Linked DNA regions of Canis lupus familiaris. The protein of the gene in region 3 interacts with the protein of the main gene of each other region in a biochemical or structural test. Links are inferred from orthologs where the notes say so. Each region holds a gene or a part of one and is shown on either strand. Other genes may lie near its edges.

The links.
Region 1: of the proteins of ATF2 (region 3) and MAPK11, one has a biochemical effect on the other in vitro, tested with the Homo sapiens proteins (4 studies listed by BioGRID and IntAct). The link is inferred for Canis lupus familiaris from reciprocal best matches to the Homo sapiens genes ATF2 and MAPK11.
Region 2: of the proteins of ATF2 (region 3) and MAPK13, one has a biochemical effect on the other in vitro, tested with the Homo sapiens proteins (2 studies listed by BioGRID and IntAct). The link is inferred for Canis lupus familiaris from reciprocal best matches to the Homo sapiens genes ATF2 and MAPK13.
Region 4: of the proteins of ATF2 (region 3) and MAPK9, one has a biochemical effect on the other in vitro, tested with the Homo sapiens proteins (4 studies listed by BioGRID and IntAct, with this or other methods). The link is inferred for Canis lupus familiaris from reciprocal best matches to the Homo sapiens genes ATF2 and MAPK9.

What each region holds. Positions count from the first base shown.
Region 1 is NC_049231.1:17,883,709-17,888,147, forward strand, and holds the start of MAPK11 (mitogen-activated protein kinase 11), read left to right. Parts: upstream 1-1,505; 5' UTR 1,506-1,522; coding exon 1,523-1,638; intron 1,639-3,959; coding exon 3,960-4,089; intron 4,090-4,194; coding exon 4,195-4,253; intron 4,254-4,324; coding exon 4,325-4,436; intron 4,437-4,439. UniProt on the Homo sapiens protein: Serine/threonine kinase which acts as an essential component of the MAP kinase signal transduction pathway.
Region 2 is NC_049233.1:5,419,967-5,424,205, forward strand, and holds the start of MAPK13 (mitogen-activated protein kinase 13), read left to right. Parts: upstream 1-1,402; 5' UTR 1,403-1,475; coding exon 1,476-1,594; intron 1,595-2,260; coding exon 2,261-2,390; intron 2,391-3,583; coding exon 3,584-3,642; intron 3,643-4,239. UniProt on the Homo sapiens protein: Serine/threonine kinase which acts as an essential component of the MAP kinase signal transduction pathway.
Region 3 is NC_049257.1:19,437,875-19,442,215, reverse strand, and holds the start of ATF2 (cyclic AMP-dependent transcription factor ATF-2), read left to right. Parts: upstream 1-1,531; 5' UTR 1,532-1,701; intron 1,702-4,341. UniProt on the Homo sapiens protein: Transcriptional activator which regulates the transcription of various genes, including those involved in anti-apoptosis, cell growth, and DNA damage response.
Region 4 is NC_049232.1:1,739,814-1,743,503, forward strand, and holds the end of MAPK9 (mitogen-activated protein kinase 9), read left to right. Parts: intron 1-75; coding exon of another isoform or gene 76-80; coding exon 81-223; 3' UTR 224-3,214; downstream 3,215-3,690. UniProt on the Homo sapiens protein: Serine/threonine-protein kinase involved in various processes such as cell proliferation, differentiation, migration, transformation and programmed cell death.

The DNA.
Region 1 (4,439 bases), on a different chromosome or scaffold from region 3:
CCCATGGAGCTCTGTCCTCCGGGCAGGACGCTGGCCGGGAGGAGGGCCCTGTCGCCATGGGAACCTGGGGGCACCCCCAGCGCTAACAAAGGCCGCCCCCTCCCCGCCTTCAGCTGAAGCTGCACTGGCTCCGCACAAAACCCAGGCACCGCCCCGCGGGGCGGGGACACCGGGGTCCCAGAGGGGAAACTGAGGCCGGGGTCCTGCCAGGCTGGCCGCGGGCGGGGCTCGGCTCACGCTGCAGTCCCGATGCGCCGGGCAGTGACGTTTGCCCGGTGCTGCCCTGACAACGCTTTGCTTTAATTTGGCTGCTGGTATTTAAAGCCAGCAGATTTCACATAAAATCTCAGGGTTTGGTTTGTTTGGAAGAGGGCGTGGCTGCCATGTCCCCGGAGGTGCCAGCCCTGCCCCCGCCCTCATCGCGCGTCCGAAGGCACCTGTCACCCGGCAGTGCTGGTCACCTTTGAGGGGGAAGGAGAGGTGCGCGAGCCCAGCACCGGACAGAGGCGAGGCCGCCCTTCGGGGTGAGGGACGGGCAGCGCTGCCGAGGGGACACAGGGAACGAGCTGCGGTGATGCCCCGGAGGAGCCGCGCAGGACATGGGAAAGTCAGGGTGGGCTTCTCGCAAGAGGTGGCGGCGGAAGGGGGTTAGGAGGAGAGGAGCTGGGAACCGAAGGGGCCCGGTTGGGGGCAGCTGTTTGTGGGTACAGCACCTCAGAGGTGGCCGGGCGCTGCCGCTGTCCCTGGTCCTGAAGGGGCTGGTCCTCGGGCCGCACCAGCAGCGCCTCGCCCCCGGCGGTGCCCAGGCCAGCCCCGAGCGGGAGCCGCCGCGCAGCCACTGGAGGCCCCGGACACGGGCCACGGCGCGGGCGGGGCGGCGGGGGGGGGCCGGGCCACCCACCTGCCTGCCCCACGGCCACGTCCCACCAAGTGTTCGGGTTCCTTGGGCGGCGTTTCCTATGCAGCTGCGCAGGGGTGTCGTGCAGGGCCCGGAGCGGGGGGTGGGGGGGGCCGGTGCGCGGACCCGCGGTGCCGGCAGGGGAGGGGGCGGGGAGCTGAGGCTGCGGGCAGGGCGGTGCCCCGGCGAGCGCGCGCTGCAGCCGGAGGCTGGGGGTGCGGGGCCCGGCAGGGGGCGGGGGGGGGGTGCGGGGCCCGGGAGGGGTGCGGGAGGAAGGGTGCGGGGCGGGGGGGGAGTGTGCGGGGCCCGGGAGGGGTGCGGGAGGGGGTGCGGGGTGCGGGGCCCGGGAGGGGGCGGGGCGCAGGGGTTAGGGGTGCGGGCCCCGGATGGGGCGGGGGGCAGCCGTCCGCCCAGACACCGCCCGGCTGGGGCAGGAAGCCGCGCGTCGGGCCCCGCGCTCCCCGGCCCCGCCCCGCGCCGCCGCCTCCTCCCGCCGCCCTCCGTGCGCTCGGCTCGGGCTGCGGCTCGGGCTGGGGCTGGGGCTCGGGCTGGGGCTGGGGCTCCGGCGGGGGCGCGGGCGGGCGGGGGCAGGGGCGGGGCGGGCGGGCGGCGGCCGCTTCGGCCATGTCGGGCCCGCGCGCAGGCTTCTACCGGCAGGAGCTCAACAAGACGGTGTGGGAGGTGCCGCGGCGGCTGCAGGGGCTGCGCCCGGTGGGCTCCGGCGCCTACGGCTCGGTCTGGTAGGGGCGGCGGGCAGGGCGCGGCGGCGCGGGCGGGACCGGGGCGCGCCCCCTCCCCCCTCCCCCCTCCCCTCCTCCCTCCCTCCCTCCCTCGGCCGGCAGCGCGGCGTGGGGAGGGGCCTCGCGCGCCCCCGCCCCGGGCCATCCCGGCCGCCGCGGAGGATGGGGGCGGGGGCGGAAGGAAACTTTCCCCGGACGCGGCCCGGGGCTGCGGGGAGGGGTCGTCCCCCCCCAGCGCCCCGAGGCCCCGGTCCTGCGGCGTCACGGTCGGCGGAAGGGCGGCTCCCCGGGCCCTACACGCGTGAGAGTGCGCCTCGCCCCCAGGCAAGGGCCGGCACCCCGGGGTCTGGCAGGTGCGGTACCAGCCAGTACTTCTGTTTGCAAAAGAAAAGAACCCAACTTGGGGGGGGGGGTAGGACCCCTCCCCTTGCAATGGCCTCCAACTCCGGGGCCGGTCCTGCCCCTCCCGTTTCCCAAGGGTCTCAGACTCTGGATGGGGCCGAGGGCCCAGCAGAGATGCCTGCCGTCCCCCTCCGAGGGCCCAGCAGAGATGCCTGCCGTCTCCCCCTACCATACTTGTGGGGTCGGCCTACACCCCACTCCATTTTTGCTCTAACCAGGAGACCTCAGGCTACAGCCCGCACCTGGTCCCTGGGCCCCCGAGGACAGTCTGCAAGTGGGAGCGAGGAAGGGACTTGGCTGAGACCTGTGTAGGGTTAGGGAGGCACTGAGGGGTTTAGGGTAAGGTGCTTACGGGAACTCGGAGTGCAGTTGCAATACTGACCAGCTGAGTGTGGATGTGGATGTTGAGAGGTGCTCCCCAAAACCAGTGGGGTCCTTCCCAAGGCCTCAGCCAGATGGCTGGGGAGGTCTTAGACATGGGGAGGCCGGAGCCCCTAGGGATGGGGCATTGCTCCTGGGGGACTTCCTGACCCCTCCAGGGGCTCAGTGCTGGGGCCTGGAGCAGGGCTGCTGTCCCCCCATCTGTTGTCACTGGCCGACGTGTGGGAGGCCCCAGGCTGGCTGTCCTATGCATTCCAGCCTCGGGCCTGTCTTCATCCCTAAGACGGACCTCAAAGGCAAGAGGATCAGGACAGTGCATAGGTGGCCTCTGGGGAATATAGAGTCTTGCTGGAATCGCTTGGGTCCCTAGGGAGCATCACACTCCCCGGGGGAGCCCTGGGTCTCTCCCCACTGCCCGCACGCGCCGGTGCTCCAGTGCAGGCAATGGCCCTCGCCTGGGCTCCCGTGTTCTGTGAAGCTGTGACCCAGTGCCCATTTTTGTCACTCAGTTTGCACACACAGTTGAGCAAAGGATCTGCTGCCCCACGTGAGGGGCCACTCCCCTGCTTGTGTCCCCAGAAGGGACGTGGACCTTCCCCCAAAAGCTACAGCCTGGAGGAAGGGGCATGGAGGCCCGAGACACCTACTGGGTTTCCTGCACCCCTGCCCCGGGCCCCGTGAGCACCTCAGGTGCTGCAGGAGCCGCTCCCCATGTAGACAGCATGCACTCCTGGGGGAAGCACAATTCTAGAGGGTGCAGGTAAAGGAGAGGGAGGGAAGGGCTGAGCAGCAGTGAGGACCTGGTCCCTGTAAAGGTAGGACGCCTAGTGCGGCCCCAGGGCCAGGCCGGCAACTCTGGGAGGGCCCAGCGGTGACAGGCCGTTTGCGTGTGGAGACGATGTTTCCAGTGCAGAGTGGAGGGGTGTGGAAGCTGGTGTGCAGTGGAACTTCTGGAACTTGGGGGGTGGGGCGGGCCTAGGGGAATGTTTTGTGGGTCCAGACACCACCCTCTGCTGAATGCTTCGTATAGTCCAGTTTCTCACTCTTAGAAATAATAACGCAGTAAACGTTTTCAGCTAGCTTTTTATCCATATTTTGAATATTCAGAGGTGGGGGGGGTCCAGGGGCTCTGGAGGTAGCTCTGGAACCCGGGGGGGCCTCCACGAGTGGTGGGCCCATAGGGGAGCAGGAGGACCGTTTGGGGTGAAAGGGGATGGTTCACAATGTCTGTTTTCCTGACCTGGTTGGTGGAGTTTGTCCCCCAGCCTCATGCTGGATTGTGGGGAGAAGATCCAGATCCTGCCCCATGGGTCCCAGGCGGGGCAGGCAGGGACCTGGGATGGCTGGGATGTGTGTGGGAAGGGGGACTGGAGAGTGGGTGCCCCTTGAGGAACGAGGCACAGAGGAGAGGCTCCCCAGGTGCTGGACTCGGGCTGGCCACATGGACAGTGGTGCACCCGAGGGGCCCTCTGAAAAAGGCAGGGGCCCTGGGTGCATGGCCAGCCCCCACCCCGCCGCCTCACTCACCCACCTTGCAGCTCGGCCTACGACACACGGCTGCGCCAGAAGGTGGCGGTGAAGAAACTGTCGCGCCCCTTCCAGTCGCTGATCCACGCACGGAGAACTTACCGCGAGCTGCGCCTGCTCAAGCATCTGAAGCATGAGAATGTGAGCCTGGAGCGCCGGGGCAGGTCAGCGGGGTGGGGGTGGGGCACACACGGGGCACACAGCCCCAGGGCGCCTCGCCGAGTCCTGACGCCCGTCCCCACGCAGGTCATCGGGCTGCTGGACGTGTTCACGCCGGCCACCTCCATTGAGGACTTCAGCGAAGTGTGAGTGGCAGCTGATGCGGGGCTCGGGAGCGCATTGTGGGGGCTGCCTGCTGACCCCTGACCCCTCCCAGGTACCTGGTGACCACCCTGATGGGCGCCGACCTGAACAACATCGTCAAGTGCCAGGCGCTGAGCGACGAACACGTCCAGTTCCTGGTTTACCAGTTGCTGCGCGGCCTGAAGGTG
Region 2 (4,239 bases), on a different chromosome or scaffold from region 3:
TGCCTGCTGGGCATTTCTGTGGGATCCCCGCACCGTCCCCGTCCTGCAGTGGTCTCCAGACTGTGCCTGATGCTGAACGACGCTGGGAGTGACCACGGCCCAGGGCTTGGGCCACAAGCAAGTTCCTTGCCTTCTTCAAGATCTCTTCTCTCCCTTTGATTAAGTGAAGCGAGTGGTCCCCACCCCTTCCACGACCCCTTCCCTGTATGAGCACAGAATCAGCCACCAGACACAGGTGGCAGAAGGCCCTGGCCCGTCATTGCCCTCATGGGGCATTAGGATGCCAGCAAAAAAAAACGTTCAAAATTGGAAATTTGGGCCTGGACTGGAAAGTTGGTGCTATAGAATCACTGTTGGTAATTTTAGATGTAAAAATGACATTGTGGTTATGTCTTAAAAGCAGTCCTTAGCCTTTAGAGACACAAAAAATATTTATGGATGAAATTATATGATACCTGGTGTTGCTTCAAAATGATGGAAACAAAACTGGCTGAGAGTAGGGACGCCTGGGTGGCTCAGCGGGTGAGCGTCTGCCTTAGGCTTGGGATGTGATCCCGAGGTCCGAGATGGAGTCCCGCGTCGGGCTCCCTGCAGGGAGCCTGCTTCTCCCTCTGCCTGTCTCTGCCTCTCTCTGTGTGTCTCTCATGAAGAAAGAAATAAATTAAAACAAAACAAAACATCAGCTAAGGGTTGATATAACTGTTGAAGCTGCGGGGCTGGGGTCACGATCGCCAGAAAGTGAGGTCCCGAGAGTCTCTGAGCGGAGCGGGTTCGAAATGCACAATCTTGGCTCCGCCCCAGATCAACTGGGCCAGAGTGTGCATTCTTTTTTTTTTTTTTTTTTTAAGATTTTACTTATTTATTCAAGAGAGACACAAAGAGAGGCAGACACAGGCAGAGGCAGAAGCAGGCTCCATGCAGGGAGCCCGACGTGGGACTGGATCCGGGATCCCGCAGCCACCCAGGGATCCCCCCAGTCTTTCTAAGCAAACACAAGTCCCAGGGGATTCAGGGCACGTTCAAACGTGGGACTCACCGGTCTCGTCTGTCTACTTTCGTACCTTTTCGAAACTTGCCGTAATCAAAAGTTGTGGGGTTTTGTTTCTCCAGAATCGTCTCCACCAGCTCCACCCCCAACCCCGCGCAAGATCCCCCCTCCCCAGTCTCGGGCCGGGGGCCCCGGGAGCCCTGTCCCCCCGCCTCCGCCCCCGGGAGCCCCCCGGGCCTCCCCAGCACCCGCTCCCGCCGCCTGCTCACCTGCCGGCCGGGCTGCGGCGGGGCCCCGCGCGGGGGCCGTGGGCAGGTCCGGCGTGGCCGCGCCCCGCGCACCTGGGCGAGCCGGCAGGTGGGACGCGCCGAGCCCGGGCCCCGCCCTCGCGCGGGGGAGGAGCGGGCGGCGGGCGGCCCCGGTGCAGGGAGCCGGCGGGCGGCGATCGCAGGCGCCGCGCTGGGGCCGCCGACGTCGGGCGCCCGGGATGAGCTTCACCCGGAAAAAGGGCTTCTACAGGCAGGACGTCAACAAGACCGCCTGGGAGCTGCCCAAGACCTACGTGTCGCCGACGCACGTGGGCAGCGGGGCCTACGGCGCCGTGTGGTGAGACCCCGGGGCGCGGGGCGCGGGGCGCGGGGCGGGCGGAGCCTCCCGACCAGCCGGGCCGGCGCCCCCCTTCCCCGACCCGCCTCGGGGCGCCCCCCGCCCCTGCTGGGCGCTCGGGGCCGCGCGCGCCACCTCCGGGGGGGGGGGGGCGGCCCAGGGTCCTGCGGGGCTGGTCCTGCGGCGCTTGGAGCTGGGAGGAGGCCGCAGGCCTCAGGCTGGGGCAGACCGGGCGCCACCTCACTGTTCCCACCGGCTTTGTGGGGTCTCTGGGGGCTCAATTAGGACTGGGGGTCTGGGTCCCCAGCGCTTGAATCCCACAAGGGACCCCAGAGTTCATCCGGGTTACAGGTGGGTACACCGAGACCCAAAGAGGGAGAAGTGCGACTTGCCAAGGTGCAAAGAGTGAGCCCCCCTCCGGGCTCTGGATCCGGTTCATGCACCCCTCGGTCACTGCCGCCCCTGAGGGCACTGGGGGCTGCTCCCTCACCTTGCGGCTCGTGGGCTGCCTTCTGCGCAGCCCAGCCTGCTGCCCGGGAGGGGTTTCGGTGAGGATGGCCTGGGCTCCCCGCAGTGGCCTGGGGGATGCCATCCGGGTTGTGGTGTGGGGGCTGCTGGCGTGGAAAGAAAGCCACAGCCCCCCGGACCTCTGCCCGTGCCCTGCAGCTGTGCCATCGACAAGCGGTCAGGGGAGAAGGTGGCCATCAAGAAGCTGAGCCGGCCCTTCCAGTCTGAGATCTTTGCCAAACGTGCCTACCGAGAGCTGCAGCTGCTGAAGCACATGCAGCATGAAAACGTAGGCTGGGCCTGGGGGACCGGCGGGTGGGGGCGGGGCCCCCAAGCATCCTGACTAGGTGCACCCTTCCTCCCCCACTTTTGAGTGTAGGGGAGATGGCAAGAAGGCCGTGAGAGTACAGATGGCTCAGGAGGGGAACAGGGGAAGGGGAATCTCCTCCCTGCCCCTCCCACCACTGTTCCTCACTTCATTAAAATGAGGTGCCAGGACCTGCCCTGCCTACTTCCAGGAAGGGTGCAAAGTGTGTTTTTGGCAGTGGAGCAAAATGAACTTTGTGAGGTGCAAACTTACTGTTTCACATTACGAGGAAATGCACACGGAGGAACCTCGTAGTTCGTTCTAGCTCTCAGAGCTAGGGTGCCCAGCATCCTGGTTACTGTGGCTTCCACACGTGGCTCTGCCAACGACAACCAGGGTTCCTTGAGCCCTCTATGTGCCAAGTGCTGTCCTCGGAGCTTTGCGTAGACTAACTTGTGAATCCTCACAATATCACGGGAGTGGAGTACTATTACTTCCATGTACAGGAGGGGAAACTGAGGCACAGAAAGACTAATGGGTTATATGGTTAGTCAGTGTCAGAGCTGAGATGTGAACCTAGGCAGCCTGGCACCAGGCCTTAGTGCATAACCACTGGAGATCCTGTCTGTTAGAAACCCCTGGGAAGTCTAGCGACCCAGCGCTGGGCCTAACAACTGGGCTTTGCTCCAGGATACGTAGATTGGTAAAATAATGATTCCAAAATACGGTAGGCAAGTAGGAAGCCCTGTCCCTCTTCAGCAAACCCCTCCCCATAGCCCCCCACCCCCCACCAGGGTGACATTGCCCCTGGCTCCGAACCAGGCCTTGTTCCCTCCTTGATTCCCTTCACCACTTGTGGTTTCCTGCTTGAGTGGAGGGTGAATTTGCAGGCCTGCCTTGAACCCCAGACTTGGGGCTGGTAGACACAGGGATGGCCCCCTCCGCTTCTCCCCAGCCTGACATTCCATCACTGTGCCCTGCGAGCTCCCTCCCAGTTAAGGGGATTCCTCTTCTGCCTCTGCCCTTTTCTCTGCTCCCCAGAAGGCTGGGAACCTACCTCCTGCCGGGATGGTTATTCAGAGAGGGTGGGTGGTGGTGGGTGCAGCTGGGGCTGCAAGGGACAGGGGGAGAGGGCTGTGGCGCTGCCCAGCCTCACTGGCAACCTTCTCTCCCAGGTCATCGGGCTCCTGGATGTCTTCACCCCAGCCTCCTCCCTGCGCAGCTTCCATGACTTGTGAGTCGGGCTGCACTGGGTTCCAGGGCGTTCTCAGGCCTCACTCGCTGCTCTGCCTGGGAGCCAGCAGGGCGAGCCCAGACTGTGTCTCTGGGCAGGGCCTCCTGTTCCGGCTGTACCCGCCCCCCATGAGTGATGCTCTCTGGAGATTCTTTCAGCTGGGGATGGAGAGAAAGGCAGGCAGGCAGGGGGGGCTTTGTGGGGTGCTTGCCTGACCAGAACTGTCTGTTCAGCTGCTGCACTTAACTGCCCTCTGTCATCCCAGCCAGGACCTCACTGGCAGTCCTCACAGCGTCTGCACCAACTTACCTCGCCAACTCTGCAGGGTCCCTGGTGTGGGTCTGGACCTTGGGGCTCTTCCTGGCAGGAAGCAAGGATCAGGAAGTCCCGGCCACCTCTGGCTGGTGGGGTATTTGACTGAGTCACACAGAACCAGAAATCAATAGTTGATTATAGTTGTTAAATGCATGGCTTTGCTCCCCAAGTGCCTGGTCTTAAAACGTAGGAAACCTTTGGGAAGGTAGATTCGTTTTCCTTTTGTTCCCCCATCCCTATTTCAGATGCAGCTGAAGGTCCCTGCTTTTGTTTTAAATTTAA
Region 3 (4,341 bases):
TATCCCCACACTTGACGTCGAAATATTTAAGTTATATAAAGAATCATAGAGCAACATTAAAAAATATTTTCAGTACTATTCTTTGTGTTTTCATGAGTGTATCTGTGTCGACTGCAGAACAGAAAATATGGTATCTTTTGTCCCTCAAGTTAAATTAATCAAATGGTCTCCCTTCTCTAACTCTTTTTTAAACAGCTACTTTCAAAGCTTGACAGACATTTCTTTGTCATCGTAGCAACCTAGTGAGCACTGGCTAGTATTATGAGAAGAGAGCCATTTCTAGTCCATATTCTAATTTGGTGTTCTTCGGTCCCCAGTAAAGGTTACTAAGGAGTTGATGTTTTAAAAGTTTGAAATTATCTGCATTAAAGGTGATACGTTTAAAATCTGTAACTACTAAGTAAAGGGAAATTGATAGAATACACCTTCCTAAGGAAGATTTTCTCTTGCAAGCAACTCCTTGAGCTGTTTCAACTTACAGTTATATAGTGGGGGGCGCTGCATTTCATATCCTTCCGGGTACCAGGCGTTCAGGAGCCGGAACAACCAATATCAGCGATAGCTTCGTAAAATTTGAACAAATGCCATCCAAAGGCTTTTTCATTTCTTTGTAAAACTGACTTTTTTTTTTTTTTGCAAAACTGACACTTTTTTTTTCTTTTCTTTTCTTTTTGCAAAACTGACTTCTCTTGGGACTCCCGGGTGGCTCAGCGGTTGAGCCTTCAGCCCAGGGCGTGATCCTGGAGACCCAGGATCGAGTCCCGCATCGGGCTCCCTGCATGGAGCCTGCTTCTCCCTCTGCCTGAGTCTCTGCCTCTCTCTCCATCTCTTATACATAAATAAATAAAATCTTAAAAAAAAAAAAAAAAAAGCTGACTTCTCTTTCCCGCTTCAGGCGTGTGGAGGCCTTGAGGGGGAGGGGCATTTTGCTGCAAACTCCGCCTCTCCCAAATCTCAGCTCCACGGAACCTCCCCGTCTCACATTTCAGGGCAGCAGAAAAGTGGGTCCAGGCGCGCGCCCGCCTAACGTTTTGCCCTCCTTCCTACCCAGGGCCCGGAAGGGACGGCAGCAGAAATACTGGGCTCCCGTGACGGAGCTCGGAGGCCTCCTCGCGCCTCCCCTCCCGCCACTCGCAGCCTCTTCCGCAGGTCCCCTCGTCCTCGGCGCGCACCGTCAAGCCCTTGGGCCACCCCGACATCCACCTGTTCCCGCATCCACAGCCCCGCCAGTCTCCAGCCCCAGCCAATCACAGCCTTCCGCAGGTGACGGAGGCTCCTCCCCTCCGGCTCCTTCGGCCCCGCCCCCTTCCGGAACCGCTTCCCGCCCTCTGGGCTCCTTGACCAATCGTCTGCGACTGAGTGGCCTTTGGTTCCCGCCCCCTCCAGCCCCTCCCTCCTCAGGTCCCGCCCCCTGCCGCTGAAGGCTGACGGCATCACCTGACCCGGAGGCGCTCGGTCGAAAGGAAGGCAAGAAGGGGCGTGTGCGCGGAGGGGAGGGGCGCGAGAAGAAAGGGGGGATGCCGGGAGCGGGGCGGGGAGAAAGGGGTGTCAGTCGGATCTCGCGAGAGAGGACGGAAGCCTGTGGGAGCCCGTGGCCTTTAAAGTGCGGTTCAGCCCTTTCCTCCAGGGGTAGTTTGTAAACACGGCTGAGCTCGGGCCTCCCGGGCGGCAGCGAGAAGCATGAACTAGCGACCTGGGAAGGTGAGTAGCGCGGGCGGAAGGCCGCAGGGCTGCGGCTGGAGGGAGAGGGAGAGAGAAGGCGCTAACATGGCGACGTCGCTCCGCGTAGTCCCCACCCCCCGCTTCCCATCGCCTCGGGCGCTCCTGCCTCGGTGCCCGGCCCTCGGGGCGACCCAGGCCGTCCCGCCAGCTGCGCGGCAGGCGCGGCGTCGGCGGCGGGGAGCCCGGCCGGCCCGGCGGGCCCGTTATAGGGAACTGGCGTTCGTCGTTCCGGCCCCTCCCCGCTCGCGCGCTTTCCTAACGAGGAGGAAAAAGGAATAACGGCGCCTCTTAGACCCCTCCCCCCCGGTTCGCCTTCCCCTTCCCCGGTTAGGTCGGAGGTGTCCGGGCGCCCCCACGCCGCACCCCCGGGGGCGCAGGGAGACCCCCGCCTTCAGCCCTTGGATCTGCAGGGAGAGGGCCGGCTCGGGTCTCCCCGCCCAGGACTCGGGGGTGCGGGGACTGTGTGGGTGATGCTGGCGGGGAGGGGGGTCGGGGTCCCCGCCTGCGGCCGCGCCGACGGCCTGGGCAGCCCGGGAGCTGGAAGTCCCCGCCGGTTCTGTCCTTTCTGCCCCCTCACACTCCCGCCACCCCCCGCTTTTTCCCTGTGGGGCGGGGCTGAGGTGTGGGTGCAGATTGATTCTGGTATTTTCCCCCATTTTCTTTCTTTTCTTTTTTTTTTTTTTTTTAAACCTCCCCGCACGGACTGCAGAGCCTCTGTAGGGTAAATAACCTGTGCCTTTTTTTTTTTTTTTTTTAATGCCCTAGGGACCAGGGCCGAGGGAGTGACTGTGTGTGTCTGTATTTTTTGTGTTAGCTCGTTGAACCGACGCTAGAGGAAGGAGAAGGCGGAGGAGCTGGGGATCATTTGTGTCCTTAGATAGTCTGAAATTGCTTTCGCTTGGGGGGCGGGGGCGGGGGGGGGGGGGAGTTGAAAACTGGTTGAGGCCAAGCGCAAAACTACCGTCAATATGGTAGAGTAAAGGGATTACACCTGATGGACGACCTTCGCCCTGTTGACTGATAGTTAAATCATAATGTGAAAGTCCTCATTTCTTGGGGGTTTTAAATTATGGAGACGGTAACCGTGCGTTGACTTTAATGTACACACTTGATGTCCAGACAAACCTGTACCTCTCTGAGTGCACTTTGTGTCCTGTGTGAAGAAACCACTGGCACTGTCAGTAAGTAATAGCCTTTCTAGGCGTCGTTTTTAAATAGCCGTGTAACCTTGGTCCGTTGTACCAGAACTTGAAGGTAATAAGCTTGTTCAAAAGTCAGCCCTACAGGTTAAGTGACCTGAAAGGCAAACACAGTAGCAATTCCATCTTGTGATTACATTTGTTACACTGATTTGAGGAATCCGCTGTAAACACTTCGCAGAACTGCAAGAGTATCTTTGTAAAGGATGTTTAAAAAAAAAAAAAAAAGAGATGCCCTCTTACAGATAAAGAATTAGTTAAGGATGTTCTTGAATCTTTAAGGTCATCAGTAATTGAGTAACAATTAAAAATCTTGGTCTTTTTTTTTTTAAGATTTTATTTATTAAAAAAAGAAAGATTTATTAATGAGAGAGAGAGGGAGGCAGAGACAGAGGCAGAGGGAGAAGCAGGCTCCATGCAGGGAGCCCCATTTGGGACTCCATCCCAGGACCCCGGGGTCACGCACCTGAGCCGGAAGGCAGATGCTCAACCGCTGGGCCACCCGGGCATCCCAAAAATCTTGGTCTTTGTAATTTATAAGAATCTTACAAATTTATGGTTGTTTGTATGCTGCTTTCCGAAGACCTGTTTTATCTTGCTTCGAGAGGATTACGGCCATTAGATTTTTAATTATTTGAAATATATTGTGGTAATTTAGAACATAGATGTTTGTATTTGTCAATAAGGAAGGAGCTTTCAGGAACTGTGTGTGTGTGTTTTTAAGGTACATGTGTCTTCTGTAGATCTCATTGCATTTCTTGGAAATTCTTTTTAACCTTATAAGAATGTATATTTCATCCTTGGGGCACTATATCATAATGTATTAAATATGTAATCCAGAAATTCCTGTATTTTCTTTACTTGGAGTATTTGTTTCATATTTTTAAACAGTACAAATTAAGATTATTATGTCAGCTCTTTAACATAATTTGGAGGGATGCTTTTTCTTGGTATTCAGGATTTAAAAGCTATCTGAATATCATTTTTAAAAATGTTATGCTAGGGGCATCTGGGTGGCTCAGTTGGTTAGGTGTCTGCCTTCGCTTGGAGTCATGATCCCAAGGTTCTGGGATGACCCCCCGCCCCACTCCTTGCTCAGCAGGGAGCCTGCTTCTTCCTCTCCCTCTTGTTAGTGCTTGCTCTCTCCTCGCTCTCAAATAAAATCTTTAAAAAAAAAATGCTACACATCAAATGTCTACTACCTATAACTAGCATTAAGTCTCAAGAAATAATTACATTTTTTCCTACCTAAATTGTTGTATTTTGAAAAAGTTGGGTTTTAATGATTTAGATGTTCTCTGCTGATAAATTGTTAGATTATATTAGATCAAATGTGTCGATCTTATCTGTGTCATTTTGAGCAAATAATACAATCCCCCCCCCCTTTTTTTTGGTATATTTTTTTATTGGAATTCGATTT
Region 4 (3,690 bases), on a different chromosome or scaffold from region 3:
GAAAGGCCTCATGTCTCACTGCCCGAACCTGCAGCAGTGTCGTGCCTCAGATTTTATTATATTTGGTTTTCTTAGCACAGATGCAGCAGTAAGTAGCAATGCCACTCCTTCCCGGTCATCATCCATCAACGACATCTCATCCATGTCCACGGAGCAGACGCTGGCCTCAGACACAGACAGCAGCCTTGATGCCTCGACGGGACCCCTCGAAGGCTGCCGATGATAAGTCACAAGTAACAAGCTCGTCAACAGTGAAGGAGCTCTCGCTTCCATGGGCCTGAAATGCTTGGGGGTTGATGGAACCAAACAGAAAACTCCATGTTCTGCATGTAAGAAACACGATGCCTTGCCCCTACTCAGTTCTAATAGGATTGCCTGCCTAGATTCTACAACGAAGCAGATTATGTCTGGAGAAAACACGTGCAAGCCACACTCTTAGAGATTTTGTTCAAGGTCATTTCAGGTGAGCAATTAGAATAGACAATTTTTTTTTTAAGTTGTGCGGTCATAGTGACAATTTCTCATCCTCATAACTGTTGGGACTTACATGCATGTGACCACATGTGCTTGCTCAGACTTGCCATCTAGCACTTTGGAAATCAGTATTTAAATGCCAAATAATCTTCCAGGTAGTGCTGCTTCTAGAATGATCTCTTAATCCTCTCAAGTAATTTGGTGTCTGTCCAGAAAAAATAGATTTATGTGTTAATTGGCCACCATCATATTATCACGTCTTACCTTTTATGATACAATTTATTCTATCTTTTGTATTTCAGAAGGAATATAATTAAATCTATTTAATAAAAAAATACAACTTTTTTTTAAATTTTCATGTTTTGGGCTGAGAATTATCACTGCTGAAATCTAGACATTTATATGGACACTTTGTTTCCTCTAAATTGTCTGAATTTGGGATGAGTGTACATTCATCTTTATTGCATGATAAAATTTTAAGTTTTGTGCTGCCTAAGACAGATATACCTTTAAAATCCTAATCTACCCTCACTCATTTTTCCTGGTCTTCTGGACTTATTAATTTAAAATCCCACCTAAAACTTCGCCTTCTTGATCAGGCACCTAACACTTCATGTCAACAACACAATGGCAGATTCTCAAGTCCATTAGCGGTGAGAGTAGAATTTGACAAGACGGTCACTGAAGCTGACTGCGGTGACTTCCTGAGCGCTTGCTTTCCCCAAGCCTGGTCAGGGTCATTCCCTCATTCCTGGGGAGGTGCACCATCTCCCAGGACAGCGTTTCCAATTTCCAACCTAATGTTCTTATTTGGCTTTTCTTTCTTTGCTGAAAGAAGCCACATAACCCCATCCATCCACCCCCAACCTCCCCACACTTGGATCTGTTCGAGGAAGCGAAGTGATTCCAAACGCCTGTGTGGTGGTGGTGGTGGTTTTTTCCACTTCGTGGAGCATCCCCTTTTCCTAAGGGAAACCCATGAATTTTCTGGGAAACCTCCTCATGGGGTTTTTTTGGAGGAAGTGCCCTCAAGAGTGGTGATTAACCATTGAGTACTTTCTGATTTAAAACTGCTCACCTGAAATTGATGCTTTCAGACTTTCTGATGTGGAAATTATTCAGAGTTCACTAAGCTACTGAGTACTGAAGTGTCACTGCAGAAATGGAGTTACAATGATCACATTTTTTTGGTTACCTGTGCTCCTAATGCTTGCCCCATGAGCTTATTCTGTTAAAAATTCATATCTTGTGTTTTACTGTTTTTGGAAGCTATTGGGTCAGCATTCTATAGGAATGTGTTCTGAGGAGGAACTTTGATAAGAAATTTTATTATAAATATTATCAAAAAGATATGATTCTCTCGCACCAGTTGTATCTTATTGGTGGGTCTGATCACTGGAAACTGGAACCCTTGATGAACAAAATTATTATTGAAGGTAATAGTTTTATATTGTGAGGTTTAGACACATTCAGGTACAAGATGGAAATTCTGACTTGGATTAAAGGAGAAATACCTATTATGATATGGCTCAGGATGGTTTTGGCTTTGGAGGCCTGATGGTATAGTGAAGAAAGTTATCATTATCTATATATAAACATCTTAAAATGGCCTTTTCTCTAATACATATTCTTTAAAAAGACTTCACTAAATCTATCTTTAAATAGAAAAAGAGAGAGGAGAATTTTTTAAATGTATGAACTGCCCTTGGCTTCTGTGAACGCGGCCTGGGGATGCTGAGGGCTTGTGAAGCTCCTGTATCCATCCAAGGTCTGGATCCTGAGAGGAGCTTGGGTGCCTCTGCAGACTGGCTTTTTACTCAGTTATCATTCCTCCTGCATATTCTTGGATGGAGCTTGTCTGGGCGTGGGTGGGCTTCCTGCCATGCCCACCACCCATCAGACAGCAGGAGTGCACCAGGGTGGGACAGGCCACTGGCCGCAGAGAGCAGAGCTCCCATAGAAATACCTCAGCCCCCATCATGGTCCTCCGTCCTGAGCCAAAATGTGCCAGGGTCCTGGTGCATTGCAGACAGTTTCAAACTGCTGTCTATGGATGAATGCTGATGTTGGGAAAAGAACTAAAACGTGCTCAACTTTTTCATCTTTTCTATTTTATTTTTGTAATTTATATTGTACACAACCCTGGAAGTAACTATTTTGGACACATATTTTTATAAACCAGGTAATTTATTATTAGCCTGGAATTGGGACTAGGTTTATTTTATTTGTTGGCTTAGTTTTCAGTCAAAAAGGAAACGACTGCCTCCCCTATGTCAGGTCTTGACCTCAGGTGCAGGTTTCAGAGAGCAGAGAGGGTCTATCAGAGCAGGAGAACATTGTGGAAACACGGACTGCTCAGTGCTGATCAGTCGTGGTCGCAGAAATGGAAGTGGGGCTCTGTTCTTCTCTTGGGGACATGAAACTCAGAGCCTCCATGCTGGAAGGAGAAAACCCTTGGCAGGGCCCCCTGCTGACACCCAGAGTCCCTGGTTGAACCTCTGGATGGGATAATCCAGCAGTTTAATCCAGATTCAATACTGTGTAAGTCATGGTGACCATGTATGAGTCTGTCTGGTTGATTTCTAATGTCCTCCTCTGGTGTTTCATGCTGGTAGTAAATACAGGTGTGACCTTCAGATTGCAGATCTCAAAAGTAACATTGCCTAATGTTTTATAATAAAATATATTATGTGTGTTTTGATTAGTGAAAATAATACAGATACATTTTAAAAGAGAAGTATATAGCATGTCCAGTTCTTGTGTGTTTCTAAGTGACACTTGGCTATATTTCTACATCACCATCTCTGATTACAGACTTAACGTGAACACGGGTGGATGTTGGAGTGTCGTCATTTCCTTCCAATATTAGCAAATATTTTTAATCAAAAGGCAAAACGTTTCTTTTTCGTCTGTTGCTAAAAATGTCCTGCAAATTTCTGAATCTCAAGTTTTCAAAAATATGCAAGTATACTAATCAGATATTCCCGAGTATTGGTATAAGTGTTTTTCTCACAAGGTGTGGCCAGGAGGATCCACCGAGGGGTCTTTCCTTGTCTTACTTAGAATCCTTAATGGTGCCTATGTGCTTATAGTTTTGTGAACAGGATGAGCCACTTTGATTTCACTCCTAGTTTTGAGGTACTTGAAGATATTTACTACTCCAGGGCAACCAGGTAGCTCGGTTGGTCAGGTGTCCAACTCGATCTCTGCTCAGGT